2 linked regions of the Mytilus edulis genome follow. The protein of the gene in region 2 purifies or fractionates together with the protein of the main gene of each other region. This does not show direct contact. Links are inferred from orthologs where the notes say so. Each region holds a gene or a part of one and is shown on either strand. Other genes may lie near its edges. The genes, in order: nephrocystin-4-like and nephrocystin-1-like.

Region 1 (8,396 bases), on a different chromosome or scaffold from region 2:
ATAATAACTTATCATAAAAACTGTAAAGTTAACTTGATTGTGTCAATTAAGGTAGAGAATTTTTGGTCATAATTTAGAAATAGAAAATAGTGGACAATATAAAATTCCTAGAAGGATAGAATGTGTAGGTCAATGAAGAACACCTATTCCTTGATTGTAAAATTAACAAAACAACTTTGAGATATAAATCTATTTGAAAATTATTTACCTTCTCATTAAAATGTCTCTAACCCAAGAACAAAAAGTAAAAGAAATGCTTAACCTCTAAAACATGGATCATGTTTAAAATATCATATGACAATAAAAATATTATCAAATTTTGCTGTACTGAATATTTCTAATACTTATAAATATTTTATTCAATAAAGAAATAATGAATTGCCTAAATTTTATTTAGCATAAGTCCTAAAGACAATCTTAATCATATGTTAAGATCAGTCTATCTACAATAATAAACCATTTTGATTTTAGAAAATTAATTTGAGAAACATCTAGTCAATAGAAAAAGACAGGCATTGTAAATGTTTGCAGTATATTTGAAAATGAGATTCATTTATTCTTCACTACCAAAAAATAAACTTAATATAAAAAATAACTTAAATTGATCAAAAATTATTTAAAAGGTATAATATCAAAACTAATAGTCAGGAGACAATTATTTTTTAATTAAGCTGTTTGTTCAACTAGTTTTATTGTTTCATTTTATTTTTGAATTTCTTGTCATAATCACAGTTATTAAATTTGACAAACACATACATGTATATTTTACCTGAGACACCTGACCTGTAAGTTATATAATTTTAACACTTCAATGCATTCAAGATTTCCCTTTATCCTTGACTAGTTTTTGAGTAATACCTTGTGTATTAAAAAATCAACAGGGGGTAAGATGATGAACATATAGGGCCACCATGGTGAACATATTTTTTATGGCCACCATTAATAAGATAAAGTCACAGGTAGTACTGTATTAATGTAGTTATATGTGTAAAAAAAATGGCAGATTCCTATAAATGAGTAACAATGAATCCCTCTGCTCAATTGAGTAAGAACTTAGCCAAATGGAACAATTTTACACGTATATTGACTTTTACTGTAAAACATTCAAAACTCTTGCAATTAACATACATGTACAATGTACCATGACGTTTTTTTATTTGACCCTCATTTATCCAAGCATATTTCTTGAAATCTTTTTTTGCCTGGTGGTCCTTCCTCACTATCATTTCTAAATGCATATTGCCAAAATTGTGTTAGTCCTTCCCAAAAAAATGTGGTGGTAAAATCCCTAGGACCACCACTCATAGAGAACTCTGTACAAGTATTGAAAAGATATACATTTACATGTAAATGCATGTTTGATAATATACTCATTATACATGTTATACCTACATGTGTAATTGTACTTAAATGTTGCCCCTTTCTGCAACAGAAAGTGCTTTGTTTTGTTACAGTCAAGGGTAAAACATGTACTTTTACAAGTCATGTTTATTAAGTTAAACATGTAAAGTTTTGTAAGACAGCCAAAAGAATTTGCGTTATATATTGGTATCACATCGTCGTTGTCATCGTCTGAATACATTTGGTTTCAGGTCAATAACTTTTAATCCACCATTTTCTACATTTAAAAATGCCTGTACCACGTCAGGAATATGACAGTTGTTGTCTATTCCTTTGATTTGTTTTCTTTTTTTTTTAAAGGTAATAATATCTTTATTGCATATTTGCTGTAACAATTTACTAAGTTTACAGCTTGTAACTTAGTATCCCTCATGTTAGTTTACCTAATAGTTTAGGGAAGCACTATTTGGTAAGATATAACTTGTTCATAATATTAGTATCTATAGTACAATTGATTTCACAATTATGTAAAATAAATTGTCTAGTGTAGACAAATTGTGAATTGTGCACGCCAAAATGAATGACTTAACTTGTGTAATACATATACACGACGACATACAATAGATCATTAAAAACTTAAACAAAAATTGCATACTTACCAAATTTTATAAAATAAGTTAAATCCAGTTTATATAAGAATATTTAGACACAATCAATAATGCGATAACGCACGTGCTTGCTGAAACAACACTAACTATGCCCAATTTCTTTCAATGGAATACGGATCATTTGATGTGTTTTCTCATTTGATTTTGCCAATTTGATTACAGACTTTCCTTTTTGAATTTTCCTCAGGGTTCAGTTTTTTTGAGATTTTACTTTTATTGATCATGTTTATAGTACATGTATTAGTAAATAGAAAGATGAAATTTAAACACAATGTTTATGACCACAAAAGAAAGGTTGGTAACGATTTGGGGGTTATGGTCCTAACAGTTTAGTAATTAGGGGTCAAAAAGGGCATTTTTCTACTTTCCAGACAATAACTTGTGGAATGGTGTATGGATCGCTCTGAAATTATACCACAAGTTTCCATACCATAAAGGTATGGTAAGAATTGGCTTTGCAGGGTTATGGCTCAAACCATTTAGGAATTAAGGAAAAAAAGGGGGGAACAAGGGTGTCCTGGTTAATGGACAATTATTTAAGTTCAAAACATAATTTTAAAGCAATTAACAGAAGGTAATAGTCTATTTACCACTTCCTGTAATTGACCCTGTAATTAGAGATCCCTTTTTAAGCTTTCTCCCTTATGAGGGACAGTATATTTTATTTACAATGGAGAGCTAACAGAGAGAGCAAATTAACCGGTGCATAATGTGAGTTTTTAAAATCTGTTAATTAGATTTATCATTAATTTTGTTGTTAGGCTAAATACTTTTGACATCAGAAATTATTTTCCATGAAATATTAGTTAAACCACCTATACATCACTTTCAATTCATCATGGTTTGCATCACTTTCAATTCATCATGGTTTGCATTGGCAAAAGCCAATTTTGCGGTATAGAACCAGTCTACTATTGACAAAGGAAAGTAATTTGTTTAAAAAGTGTGTAATTACAGAACAAAATCGGTAATTGACAAATGGACTATTCAAACAACATTGACAATTACCTCCCTTACACTGCTTTTAAATTATGTATAAACATGATAAAGAAATGTTGTATTGTCTTGAGATGATTAGCTGTCTTATGTACTGTAATGATATTTTTGTCATTTTCCATTACAGAATGCATTAAGCTCTGTTAAAAACAGATCTTTTTCCCCCCAAAGACTCAATGTAAAAAAAACCACCATAAAATAAAAAGAGATAAATTCTTATCTACATGTACCTACCCTAACTTTTTCTCACACAAATATAGATAAATGTACTGACATGTATAAAATTCTATATATATACACTGTTAATCAACACACTATAAACCTTGTAAACAACTGAAGCAATGTGTTATTCCATAGATTGATTAATTATACGTTTTGATTTACAAACTCATGGGACCAAAATAGTCTTATCATGCATTCTTGTCATTAATAAATAATTTTTGTGGTTATTTAAAGGTCTCTTTCAAAATTTCATTCTAATTTTATGATGAGTTTTAAAAATAGCTTACAGATTGATTACGGTTAAAAACAGGAGGGACTCTAAATTATCCTGACTAAATGATCAGCAGATAAATATTGACTGTTTACCATGGTATTATCGGGAGACTTGGATCGTTTAAAAATCTTTAAATAGAACTTAAAAGTCATGACATTTAAAGTAAAGGTTAATAAATATCATCAATTTATTGTAATTAAAAAATCCTACATGTAGGTTTGAATAATCTTTAACTTGCATGTAATTATAAAGTATACAATTTTTTCAATCCTACATTTACATGTGTTAAGAACTGGAAAATAATATTACTGTGTGTTATACCTGATTTATTTGTACTTTACATGTGATGTTACAAAGGTTTATTCCCTATTGTCCCACTTTTTAAAATTTTAGAGTTCTGATTGTCCCACATTATTTTATGTAGTAAAATGTTCATAGATAAACAAGGTAACTGTTGTTTGTTTTGCTAAATAAACAAGAATTAATTATTGCACATTTAATATTAATTTTATAAAAGTATAAAAAATATGATTTTTAAATCATTAGATTGATACACTTTTGATTAAAAAAAATATAATATTTCTGATTTATGAAATAGATCTTTTAAGGTCTTGAATTAAACTTTTTTTCTGAACCTGATTTTTTGGGTTTATATATGACTCTAGAAAACTAATTGGTTACGAAAATCATATGGTGGTGCACTTATTTTTGCTATTTTTAGAACACAAATCTTATTATTTCAACTTCTTTGTTATAATTGATTGAAAAAATACACATTTGAGAAATTTGAAAGAATTTTTTTTATATGGGATGCACATGCTTCTGGTAAAATCATTTCTTGTACCCCCATCTATTTTCTCTAAATTTGCTGCTGTCTAGAATTTTTCCAGATCAGCCTTTCCAAGAATCACTATTAAAGGTTGTTTTTCCAATTTTCCCATTGTTTTTGCAGTCAAAAAGACTCTTCACCAATTATAAAGAAGAGCCAGACTTCCATAAGAAATAAGAAGATGCGGTATGATTGTCAATGAGACAACTCTCCCAAAGAGACCAAATGACACAGAAATTAACAACTATAGGTCACCATACGGCCTTCAACAACGAGCAAATCCCATATCACATAGCTTCAAAAGGCCCCAAAATGACTAATGTAAAACGAGAAAACTAATGGCAAAAGAATGAACGAAAAACAAATATGTTACACGGCAACAAACGACAACCACTGACTTACAGGCTCCTGGCTTGGGACATCACCACAACAAAGACACTAAGTACAGATCTAAGAGCACTCGCAGTACTGACTGCTAGTTCAAAGCCAATAAAAAATAATTAAAAAAAATATATATGCATCTTAGACTAAATTTTTTTAAATTTTTTAAAAGACTTCATATTATATTATATGATACTTCAATTGTACCTACTATGAGCAAAATAAAATATATAAATATTATTATTTGTTCTTATTTTGTTCATATTTTATAAGCTACATCGATAAGTAACCTTTGATTAACTGCAACACGCTATAAAAACAAATAAATCATTATAAAAACAGTTCCCAATTGTCCCACATCTAAACTTCCCAATTGTCCCACAAACATATTCCCGATTGTCCCACAAAATTTCATAACCTTTTTACCTGTAATTTCAAAAATAGGGACAATCGGGAAGACACCGTTACAAATGTAGATGGAAAATTTATCGTCATGTTTTTTTAATGAACCTCAATCATAAACACCTCTGTGTCTATGAAATGAAAATCGATAGTTAGATGATCAATGCATGTTGATGTGCTGTAACAATGAGATGATTTGTCTTCGACTTTGTCATTACGTGAAAGTTTATACTATTTATAGATCTATCACCTGTTATTGAATTCTTTATTGTGATTTAGCAGTACATATATAGTTTACATGTGGGATTGAGCTTATTGTGATAAATTTTCATCATTTTAACATCATCAAATTATTTTTTTTGAAGAGACTAACTTTAATAATTTGAGGAGCATATATACATATATCAAGAGGAATAATTTGTGTCATTTTTTGTGAATTTATAGATAATTGCATTTGAAGTTGTTAATGTTTTTCATTGAAGTACATATTTACAATATTGAATCAGCATTAAATTTTTTTTTAAATGTCAATTTGAATTTAAAAATATTTTGATCTAAATAGTTATGGTTAATTGATCAACTATAAATAATTAATATGTTTTAAATGATATTTAATAAGAAAGTTTACCTGCGAATATTTTTTTTTACTTTTCACCATCAATATCAATTGGTTAAAAGATTTTGCCGGTGAATGAATAGATATAAAAGCTTGTAAAAAAGCTATATTTACCTTTTGAAATTTAATTCCAAAGTGACTATACTATCATTACAAAACTAATTGTACTATTGTGATGATTTTGTGTAGAAACATCTGATTTGAAAAAAAACCAAAGAAAATCAATTATTGAAAGAAAAAAAAAATAATGCTGTAATTTGAAAACTTCAAATACTAGATAAAAAAAAATATAAGGATACATGCACTGAATTATTCAGACTATATTGATGGAATACATTCACTTGAAGTAAAAAATGAAATATAATAAACCCGACATCTTTGGTTTTGGATATTATCCAGAGCTGTAATATATGGCCATTCACTAGGAAAGTAAACGTTCATGTTGTAATAGTCTGAAGGTACATGTTATCATAAAATTTATGAGGTGAAAGGACAAGAAGTTTAAAATTTTTAATAACTAAGAGATTTTATTGGATACCTAATATGATACAAGTTTGTGGTTATATCGGATGTTTAGTTATTGAAAATTGTACTTCAAGTGAAAGTGACTTTCTGAATTATTGATTTCTGTAACTTGACAGATTTTACAGTATATATCTTATAAGCTTGATAAATATGATATTAGAAAGGTAAAAGATGTATGGAAATTCAGTAGACATGAATGATATTCTAACTGGCTGATAATGTGTCTGTTTGTGCAGGAAAATACATTATAGAGGATTTTGATTTAACATTGCATAGGAATTTACATATTTTCAACTGTTACGAGATATGAGTGTTTTAAGTAGATGTTTCCAAATTTGTTAACATTTAGCTATAGACTGGGTGGGACCAATATTATAAGTCTCAGATATAGGCACCATATTAAAGGACTTACATGTACATATGCATCGGATTACTGATTCTGGAGACGGATATTAATTCCATTGAATTCACTTGAATATGAAATACTTGACTTTACATAGAAGTTTACCACAGCGACATAACCTTCTGTGGAAACAACATGACCCCACGGTAGATAAACATGCAGACAGTGATAATATACCAATTGTTATATCATTTAAACAAATACAGGGATTAACTCACCCTTTTCAAGTTAAGGTAAGCTAAATTTACAAACTTTTGCAAGGGTGTTTATTATAAGATAGAAACTAAATTAGTCCGTTTGTTTTCTCGTTTGAATTGTTTTACATTGTCATTTCGGGGCCTTTTATAGCTGACTATGCGGTATAGGCTTAGTTGTTAATTTCTGAGTCATTTTGGTCTCTTGTGGAGAGTTGTCTCATTGGCGCGCACAATCATACCACATTTTCTTTTTGATATTTATTCATTGACTTTTTCTTTTAAATTGTGTGTGTTATAAAAGCTGTTTAAAATGGTTAGGTCAGCTATCACCCTAAATTATTATGTACATGTCTGTTAACATATATATGTTATGATAATTTTGAGTACATATGGATATAAGTATACAAATATGATTATGTAATTTTAAGTTATGAGCCTTGTTATTGTACTTAGATGTTACAACTCTCCCAGACAAAGTTGACCATACAATAATATAGCATTTAATGTTTTGTGTAGATCCTTCATGGTTGTGACTTCTCAATCATAATTCATATATTTGCAATGAACAAGTAGAGAAAATAGAGATAATGATAAATGGAAAAATTTCCAGTTATAAACTAATGAATTTATGTCACATAACTTCCATGAAGACACATTATCCTATTCAGAGTTTACTAATGTTTTCACTGAAGTTTTTGCTTCTTTTTGCAGGGATATAAATGATTAATTATTGTCCTGTTAAAAATATCCATAAGTTACTCATAAACTAGTCCTCTATTTATTCATTAGTGTTTTGTCATACATTTACCCATTAGGATATTGTCTAACCTTTACCCATAAGGATATTGTCTAACCTTTACCCATAAGGATATTGTCTAACCTTTACCCATAAGGATATTGTCTAACCTTTACCCATTAGGATATTGTCTAACCTTTACCCATTAGGATATTGTCTAACCTTTACCCATAAGGATATTGTCTAACCTTTACCCATTAGTTTATTGTTTCACATTTACCCATAAGGATATTGTCTAACCTTTACCCATTAGGATGTTGTCTAACCTTTACCCATAAGGATATTGTCTAACCTTTACCCATTAGGATAGTGTCTAACCTTTACCCATTAGGATATTGTCTAACCTTTACCCATTAGGATATTGTCTAACCTTTACCCATTAGGATATTGTCTAACCTTTACCCATAAGGATATTGTCTAACCTTTACCCATAAGGATATTGTCTAACCTTTACCCATAAGGATATTGTCTAACCTTTACCCATAAGGATATTGTCTAACCTTTACCCATTAGGATATTGTCTAACCTTTACCCATTAGGATATTGTCTAACCTTTACCCATAAGGATATTGTCTAACCTTTACCCATAAGGATATTGTCTAACCTTTACCCATAAGGATATTGTCTAACCTTTACCCATTAGGATATTGTCTAACCTTTACCCATTAGGATATTGTCTAACCTTTACCCATAAGGATATTGTCTAACCTTTACCCATTAGGATATTGTCTAACCTTTACCCATTA
Region 2 (7,998 bases):
AGTTTAAGAAAGTTATTAAAATTTCAAAAAACTTTAACCACAGAGTGAATATTTGTGGACGCTGTCGCCCCTATGAATGTAGGATCGCTATGTCTTCCAGGCGCGACAAAAAAGAGAAATTCAGATGTGTGCAACACTATTAACCTAAGACTGTAATGTACCTCTTTTTATTCTAAATCAAATTATGTTTGCCTGTTGCCTACCTGCCATGTTGTAATTCTGTTTACTTCTGTTGTTTTCTTCTTTTCAAAATCTTTTATTTTGCTTGGCTCATTCTCCTACAAAAAAGCAGTAAAGTTATTTCTAGAGAAGCCAAAATCACATCAACAATGATAACAATAACATTGTACCGGTAACACCAAAATAAAAGAGATTGATTGTTTCTTGTTTGACGATCAGTGGCAATTTTAAACAATGTTAAATGAACAGCATTCCAATGCCCCCTTCTCAGTCAAATACATTATTTGTTCAAGAGCAATAACATCAACTAGTTTTGCTCTTTAAAACTTTTTCATTGAAATCTGACAGTTTGTATGATGTTGATGGAACCCATACATAATCCCAGCTACTAGTTACAACAGGGGACAGTTTTATACAATGATATTTTTTCACTTCTTGTACGGTAATAAATATTCTTTGCCTATTGGTTTAAGAGAAGAAAGTAATAAACTGGCCAATCAAGTTACCTCTGAAAGTTCATTGGCCTGCTTCAGTAAATCATCAACTTGAGCTTTGAGATCATAACACCTGAAAAAAGGAAATGAATTGATACATTTTTACAACAATTAAACATTTCATTAATTGTTAGCATGTCACTCAAATACCCAATTTTTTCTTGCAATTTAATCAAACATTTTGTAAGCATGTACATAAAAGTACTTTAATTTTCTTAATACAATGAATGTCTGATATTCTAGCTCAACTAACCGGTCTGAGACCACAATTATTTCGTAGTGCATTTCTTTTAGACAATACTGAAAATTAAAAAAATCCCACCTGTGCTTTCTCAATAAAATTTTTACAGTGTGTTGTACTACTTTTGGGACATATAAAATCAAATTAATAGAAAACTTCATCGGCTCTAACTCAAAATATGGACAATTTTATGTTAAGGGGGCCTTGAAATCTTTTGACAGCTTCCAAAGTACTAATTATTAACCTTTTTCAACTGGACCAAATCACTACTTTACCTTAAAATTCATGACCCAAATTTTTAGACAGTGTCATTTTATCCCTCGACTTGCTATTGCCCGAGGGATAAAACATGGAGAAATACATTTGGAAAGGGTATAAAAAAAATTGGCAAGTAACACACTGTCCACAGTAGGGACTATATTCGTGGACAACGAAAATCAAGGGACAACAATTGTGGTATTGGACTATGAGGACATTCCTATAATATGTCAATTAACAATAGCTATATAGGCTATTTGCCAATTCCCATAATTGACCCTATAATTAGAGATCCCTCTTTCAGTTGCCTCCCTTATGAGGGACATTAATTTTCATTTGTAATGGAGAGCGAGCAGAACGAGCAAATTTACCTGTGCGTAATGTGAGTAATCTTTAAGGTTTTCAAATCTTATAATTACATTAATGTGTTTTTAATCTAAATACTTTTGACATCAGAAATTATTTTTATAAAAAAATAGTTAAACCGCCGATACATCACTTTCAATTCATCATAGTTTGCATTCGCAAAAGCCAATTTTGTCCGGTATGGAACCAGTCTACAATTGACAAAGGGAAGTAATTTGTTTAAAAAGTGTGTAATAACAGAATCAAATCAGAAATTTGCAAATGGACTATTGCATAATGTTTTTAATTACATACCCTTTAAAAAAGCCTTTTAGTTTTTCTTCATCTGTCTTTATTTTTTTGTCGTTTGCTGCTTTAGTACTATCCTTTGCTTGTTTGTCAACCTAAAAATACATAATTGAGTAATGTATATACAACAAATAATAATTTAATTTTGTAAATAACACAATAGAAACACAAAGGATTAGAACATGTATAGCAAAAAATAACTCAAAATGCAAAGGAACAGTGCCCTTAAGTGGGAAATAGAATTTAATGGAAATGTTAAAAGCTTGAGCAGACCTCTTTAACTAAGTCGATTAACACACTGCTTCATAACACAGAGGTCCCGGGTTCAAGTCCTGATGGACAAGCAATTTTGCAATGAATATATATAGGTATACATCCGGTCCATCCAGCCCCATAATGAAACAATGAATAATCTATATTGACTTCAGAGGATTTGGCGACAAATTTGAATCAGGATACAATGTAAATGGAACTTGTAAAAATTATCCAGGATTGATGACAACAGGTAAGTGAACTATAAATATTGGAGAACCAGTCAATGAATTATTTCAATTCGATAGAACTGAGAGGAAAACTCAATTATTTAGAACCTTTAAAGGTTTATATCATCATAATGCATAGTTAAATGAAATGGTTTGTTTATTCAACCGTTATCTAATGATTGTGAACTAAATAGGCCACTTGTGATCAACTAATTCAATCAAAATATTGTTTTAAAGTTGAGAATCTTTAAAATAGTTCTGCAAAGATAAAAAAACAAAACAAGTAATATTCATTACTTTTTATTGGCAGTTGGGGATCGACTTGTAACTTTGTGTATGTAACTACATATATTTGTTATTACACAGGATGAAAGAATTGCAAATGAAAAAAATGCTAATTACTGCTGTTTAATGTTGATGGCTGCTGATTATACTAAATTCTGTTATATATGTTTTTATTAAAATTATACCCAATAATCTTGAAAATTTGTAATGAAAACATAATAAATATAGTTGTTTTATACTCATCTATTGAAAATATTCGTAAACGGCCAACTTATTTTACTGTTCACCTTTTACATTCTTATAAAATTCATTTATAACATTTAAGAATTACAATTTATATCCATCCGCATAAAAATTCGTTATAAATATATTTTTAATTGGGTCCCGATCGACTGAATATGGGGCCAGATTGATGTGGGGCCTGATCGACGTTGTCACTAAAGATTTGGGGCTGGATCGACATGAAAGCTATAATATCTTAATTGAGGGAAAAAATGTATCCATCTTAACATATGAAGTCTGTATATCTTGATTGAAAAAAAACGACATTACTATACGCATTAATTTTTGCTAAAAGCAAAAGTTTGGTTTTGGTAGAGTTGGTCATGTTTTAACATGTTTTTTTTTTTCTAAACGTTCTGAATTCTTTAATTTGTTCATCGACCTTTCATCACAGAAGTTGCAATACCTTTTTCTTATATGTATCAGCTTCTTTCTGAAACTTTTGTAGGGGTCCAAGCTCTTTCCCCATGGCCAAATTTAAGTGCTTTTACTGAGGAATCAAAAAATTATTTGTTGACAGCTTCCATTTACAAACAACCCTGATGTGCACCGTAGAATAATTTTAAAAAAACTCCCTATATGGAAGCTTAAAAAAAAAAGATACTAAATGTTTGTAAGATATATTTATTTAAAGACATGAATATAGTATTTGCTTTAAATAAAAGTACTATTTTTATATTTAAATATTTTTGCGACTGTGCATCATTTTTAATATAAAATTTAATATAAAAACCAAATTTGGCGTAGCACTAAATTTCCGGACAAAATACTACAAGTTAAAAAATACCATTGAAGTTATTTTCAGTTAAATTAGATTTCACAAAAATCAACTGTATCTTAATTATACTCATTAAAATTACTGTCAAGTTGGTGTTTCATGATTATTTTTCAAATCATGCTAGTGTAAGTCAACCAGTGCATTTTGTTACTTTAATTATACCTATTGTCATACAGTATTGCAACTAGTCTAGTTTGTTCCAAACTTTAAATATGCCTAATTTGCATTCTCTTTGGTTTCTGTTCATGTTGGTTCACAACTATCCTAATATGTCAGTAGGGAATTTATGCTGTCTTGATGTTTTATGTAGACACTTTCTGAAGCTAATCTAAATCATAGTAGTCTAAAATGAGTGGATTGACGTATTAATGAATAAAAATTTCAAATAAAAAAAGATTCTCTATTTATAGTTAAGCCTTTTTAATTATGTGAGACATTCTTACTCAATGTATTAGCAACACACATACCATTCAATCTAATTAAAATATTGATCTCTAATTACGTTATAAATACTACATATGTAGAATAATGTAATAAGAGATCAATATTTTAATTAGATTGATATACCATTTGAACAATCAGTTTCAGATTTTCAGAGAAGACAGAAGTACATTGAAATCTATGCAGAACCTACACTTAGTATTGGAGGGGGGAGGGGGGAGGTGATAAATTGTTTGATTGTAATCTCTATTGAATAAAAAAAAAACAGTGTTAAAATTGAAGGCAGACTTGTGTTTTTTCAACTTGATAATCACATTTGTTTGATGTAATTTATCATTTGATTTTGCCATTTGATAAAGGACTTTCTTTTTGAATTTTCCTCGGAGTTCAGTATTTTTGTGTTTTTACTTTTTAAGAAATATTTAGTATCTTTTTTTCCTTCAATCAATCAATCAATCAATCAATCAATCAAAAATGAATATGTAATTTTCTTAATTGATTTGTGACCAATCTTGATTGTAAATACACACTTCAATGTCAAATTTACGTCATCGCATGCGCAGAAGTGTAAACAGGAAGTGGCAAAAATCGTCGGCATAATCAGCTAAAAAATATTTTGGATTGTTATGCGAAATGTAAGTTTTTCATTCTTTACAATTTATATTTACTTCTGTTAACGAATCTTTAAAAGCATATCGCTTAGGTTACGTTTCAAGTTCATTGCATAGAAGGCAAATGTTGGCCAGACCTTTCCCATATAACTTACAAAATGAACAATTTTTAATTTCTACATCAGCACCCATCAGCAGGATAAATACATTGATATAATATAACCTTGTAGTGTATAAATAGTTTCCGTGTTAATATTGTCTAATATAAGATAGGTGTTATTTTTTAAATGTTTCAAAGTCAGCAAATCTTTAAAATACTTTACCAGTATGGCAGTAACCAGATCCCTGTCAAGAAGAAGTGACAAGAAGAATCAAATTAGCAACAAGAAGAATAATTTAGCGATAAGAAGTAATATGAGGCAGGCATTACCTGTGAAAGGGGACGAAGTCTGTATAATTTTTTTTTTTTAATTAAAACATATCTTATAAATTTCAAAACGGAAATACTGTAACGTTTCCAATTTTGGTTCTGTCGTTAGGGATTTTAGTTGTGACGTTATTTAAGTTATGACGTCATATGCAATGTAAACAAAGAAACACTATCATTAGGTAACGTTTTTTCATATCAAGGAATTATTAAAAATGAAATTGATATTGCGTTCCTTCTTATTTTATACTAGACTGATAAATATATATTTTACTCAAAATTTCATGCAAACGAGACCCGAAAAAGGAAGTACATTGTAGATTTCTGCGCAGATGTTGGAATTCAAAACATGACATAAAAAAGTTTGAACGATTATGAGTTCATTAGTACAATGAAAATTCCCATTTTTATTTTTTTAAATTTTTTTATTGAATTTTCTACTGTTATTTGGGACTTCTTCTTCATATAAATCATTGACAAGAAAACAAATTAAGCTTAAAAAATCTAAATATCAATTGTTTTAAATATATAAATTAAAAAAAATATATAAATTTAAAACATACATTAAATTGTCTTTTTATGCCTCCGTCATACAATGTACATGTAGCAGTTTTACCCTTGTACGTCTGTATGAACATCAGCACATCCCAAAGTTGGTTTCAGTTCTCTAACTTTAGTTTGCCTCCACCAAATATTATGAAACTTGTACACATTGCTTAGGCCTAAAATAAAATATTGTTTGTTTCCCCAATCCCGACCGACCCAGAAAAATCGCCGCGACCGGAATAATTTTATTGCCGATTTTGTGTAGAAATTTTTTTTTTCTCAAAATTCATGTGGTGGTGCGGTGCTCCTATAAAATGGAGGAGTACAATACATAAGACATAAGAAGGTGACGCTGTTCTTCAAAGCGCCTTTCAAATCGGCTTAGTTGAAAACGCCTTGATGACGCGACTTGGCTTTCTTCTTCCACGTGGTCTCGGGTCTTTACCATATTCTCTAGATTGTTCATATTTTAAATGTCAGAACATGGACGCCGTTATGTCAGTTTCTGTTGCCGTTTATTCAGCTGGAAACTTCAAGAAAGACTTGGTATCAAATGTATTGCGGAGATTTTCGACGAAGGAAATATTTGAAGACATATGTGAGGACGTAATAGACGATTTAGAATTGACTGAAGAGGAGGAGGATGCTCTTGACAGAAAACACATCCGTGTATCCATTTCTGAAAAAAGTGGTTCCACAGAAATATTTAGTCCACACTACAGTGATGACATGAAACTGGCACTAGACTTTAATAAAAACTTTAAGTTTTTGAAATTTTGCATTGACATTGATGAGACTTCTACAGAAACAGAAGCCTCCTCCTCAAATGTTGTCAATACCTTTGACAAAATGATGAGGGCCAGTCAGGCTGTGAACAAACTTCCAAGGCGAAAAGAAGCCATTAACAAGTTTACAGGTATGCATAATGAATGAACGCCAAAACATATATTTGGTCTGGCTTAGCATGATTTTGTTAACCAATATTGAATGAAAGTTCCACATTTAACATACAATAAAATGTTCATGCACTCTTGTATCTTATTTGCATGTTCCATTGAGTTATTCAGTGGTTGATATGATTTCAATGTTTAAGTCCTCCTTTCAGTGGAAAATTGCATAATTGAATGAACCGAATAAACTTCATTCTAGTAGTACACACTCTGACATTGAACCTGGATAGATTTTATAATATAATAAACAGAAGGCTCAGTATTTTATTCATTGAAAATTCCCAATATATATGTACAAAGTAATCTAGGATATTATTTTTTATTTATCAAAGATCTCTTTTGTTCTTTTTTCAGGTGATGCTCTTGAAGGAGTGGTGAATGTGCGCCTACAGATAGACTGTAATACACATGTGGAATTTCCATATTATGCCTCTACCCTGGCACAGCCCGATATCTGTGCCTTCTGTGCAGCTGTGGGGGCAACAAAGAACCAAGATGCCATTAAAACACATCGTATTGTTCTACCAGTTTGCAGAGACTGTGTCGTTATTGGAAAGCTACCACCCAAGAGAAACCCAATAAAATAAATTATTTCAAATTATACATAGAGTTTTATTCAATATATGTTACATGAGGAAACTGATAGCTTCAATGATAAACCGTTGAATTAAAAAAAAACTACCAGTGTAATGATGGTTTTTAATTTCTTATTTAGATTGAAGTACCAATTTTTTTTTTTAAATTACCAAAAAAATAAAATATTTTACCTACCTACCTACCCATACCTGACTTGTTAGGGTCGGGTTTGGGGAAACAAACTATTATTTATTTTTGGCCTTATTACCACAAACCATAGATCATGTTTGAATTTTGGTGGGGTCACTTTAACTGTTCTAAAGTTATGCCCCTTTACAAATGGAAAAATTGCAGAATTTTTGGTTACCATTCTCAAACTGTAGTTCACCTCAACCAAAAGGTTTGAAACTTGACCTCGGGGCTGGCTTTTTATTACAAAATACAGATCAAGTTTAAATTTTGGTGGTGTCAGTCACTTTGACTATTCTAGAGTGGTGCCCCTTTACAAATGGAAAAACTGTTGAATTTTAAGTTTCCATTCTCTAATTTGAGTTAACTTATCGGGCGTATGACATTTGCGCCGATTTTGAAAATTTTCATTCTTTCATTTTCGCCGATTTTATATTTTTTCCTAACTGGATTTACAGGTAAGTTACAGGTAAGTTAATACTTTTACATTGGCTGAGCACAGAGTATAAAGACAAATCAAGTGACATTGCAAAATGGTAAATGGCTATCCCAATGTTTCGGGTAGCCATTCCTTTCTCTAAATGAAATCGATGACTGCTTCACG

The links.
Region 1: the proteins of nephrocystin-1-like (region 2) and nephrocystin-4-like purify together in Homo sapiens (co-immunoprecipitation; 6 studies listed by BioGRID and IntAct, with this or other methods). This does not show direct contact. The link is inferred for Mytilus edulis from reciprocal best matches to the Homo sapiens genes NPHP1 and NPHP4.

Annotation. Positions count from the first base shown.
Region 1 is NC_092356.1:67,723,903-67,732,298, forward strand, and holds the start of nephrocystin-4-like, read left to right. Parts: upstream 1-5,258; 5' UTR 5,259-6,731; coding exon 6,732-6,890; intron 6,891-8,396. UniProt on the Homo sapiens protein: Involved in the organization of apical junctions; the function is proposed to implicate a NPHP1-4-8 module. Does not seem to be strictly required for ciliogenesis. Required for building functional cilia.
Region 2 is NC_092346.1:5,439,919-5,447,916, reverse strand, and holds the start of nephrocystin-1-like, read right to left. Parts: upstream 3,423-7,998; 5' UTR 3,346-3,422; coding exon 3,283-3,345; intron 1,923-3,282; coding exon 1,834-1,922; intron 748-1,833; coding exon 687-747; intron 279-686; coding exon 204-278; intron 1-203. Other genes in the region: uncharacterized protein, read left to right, coding at 6,079-6,595, 6,984-7,216. UniProt on the Homo sapiens protein: Together with BCAR1 it may play a role in the control of epithelial cell polarity. Involved in the organization of apical junctions in kidney cells together with NPHP4 and RPGRIP1L/NPHP8. Does not seem to be strictly required for ciliogenesis.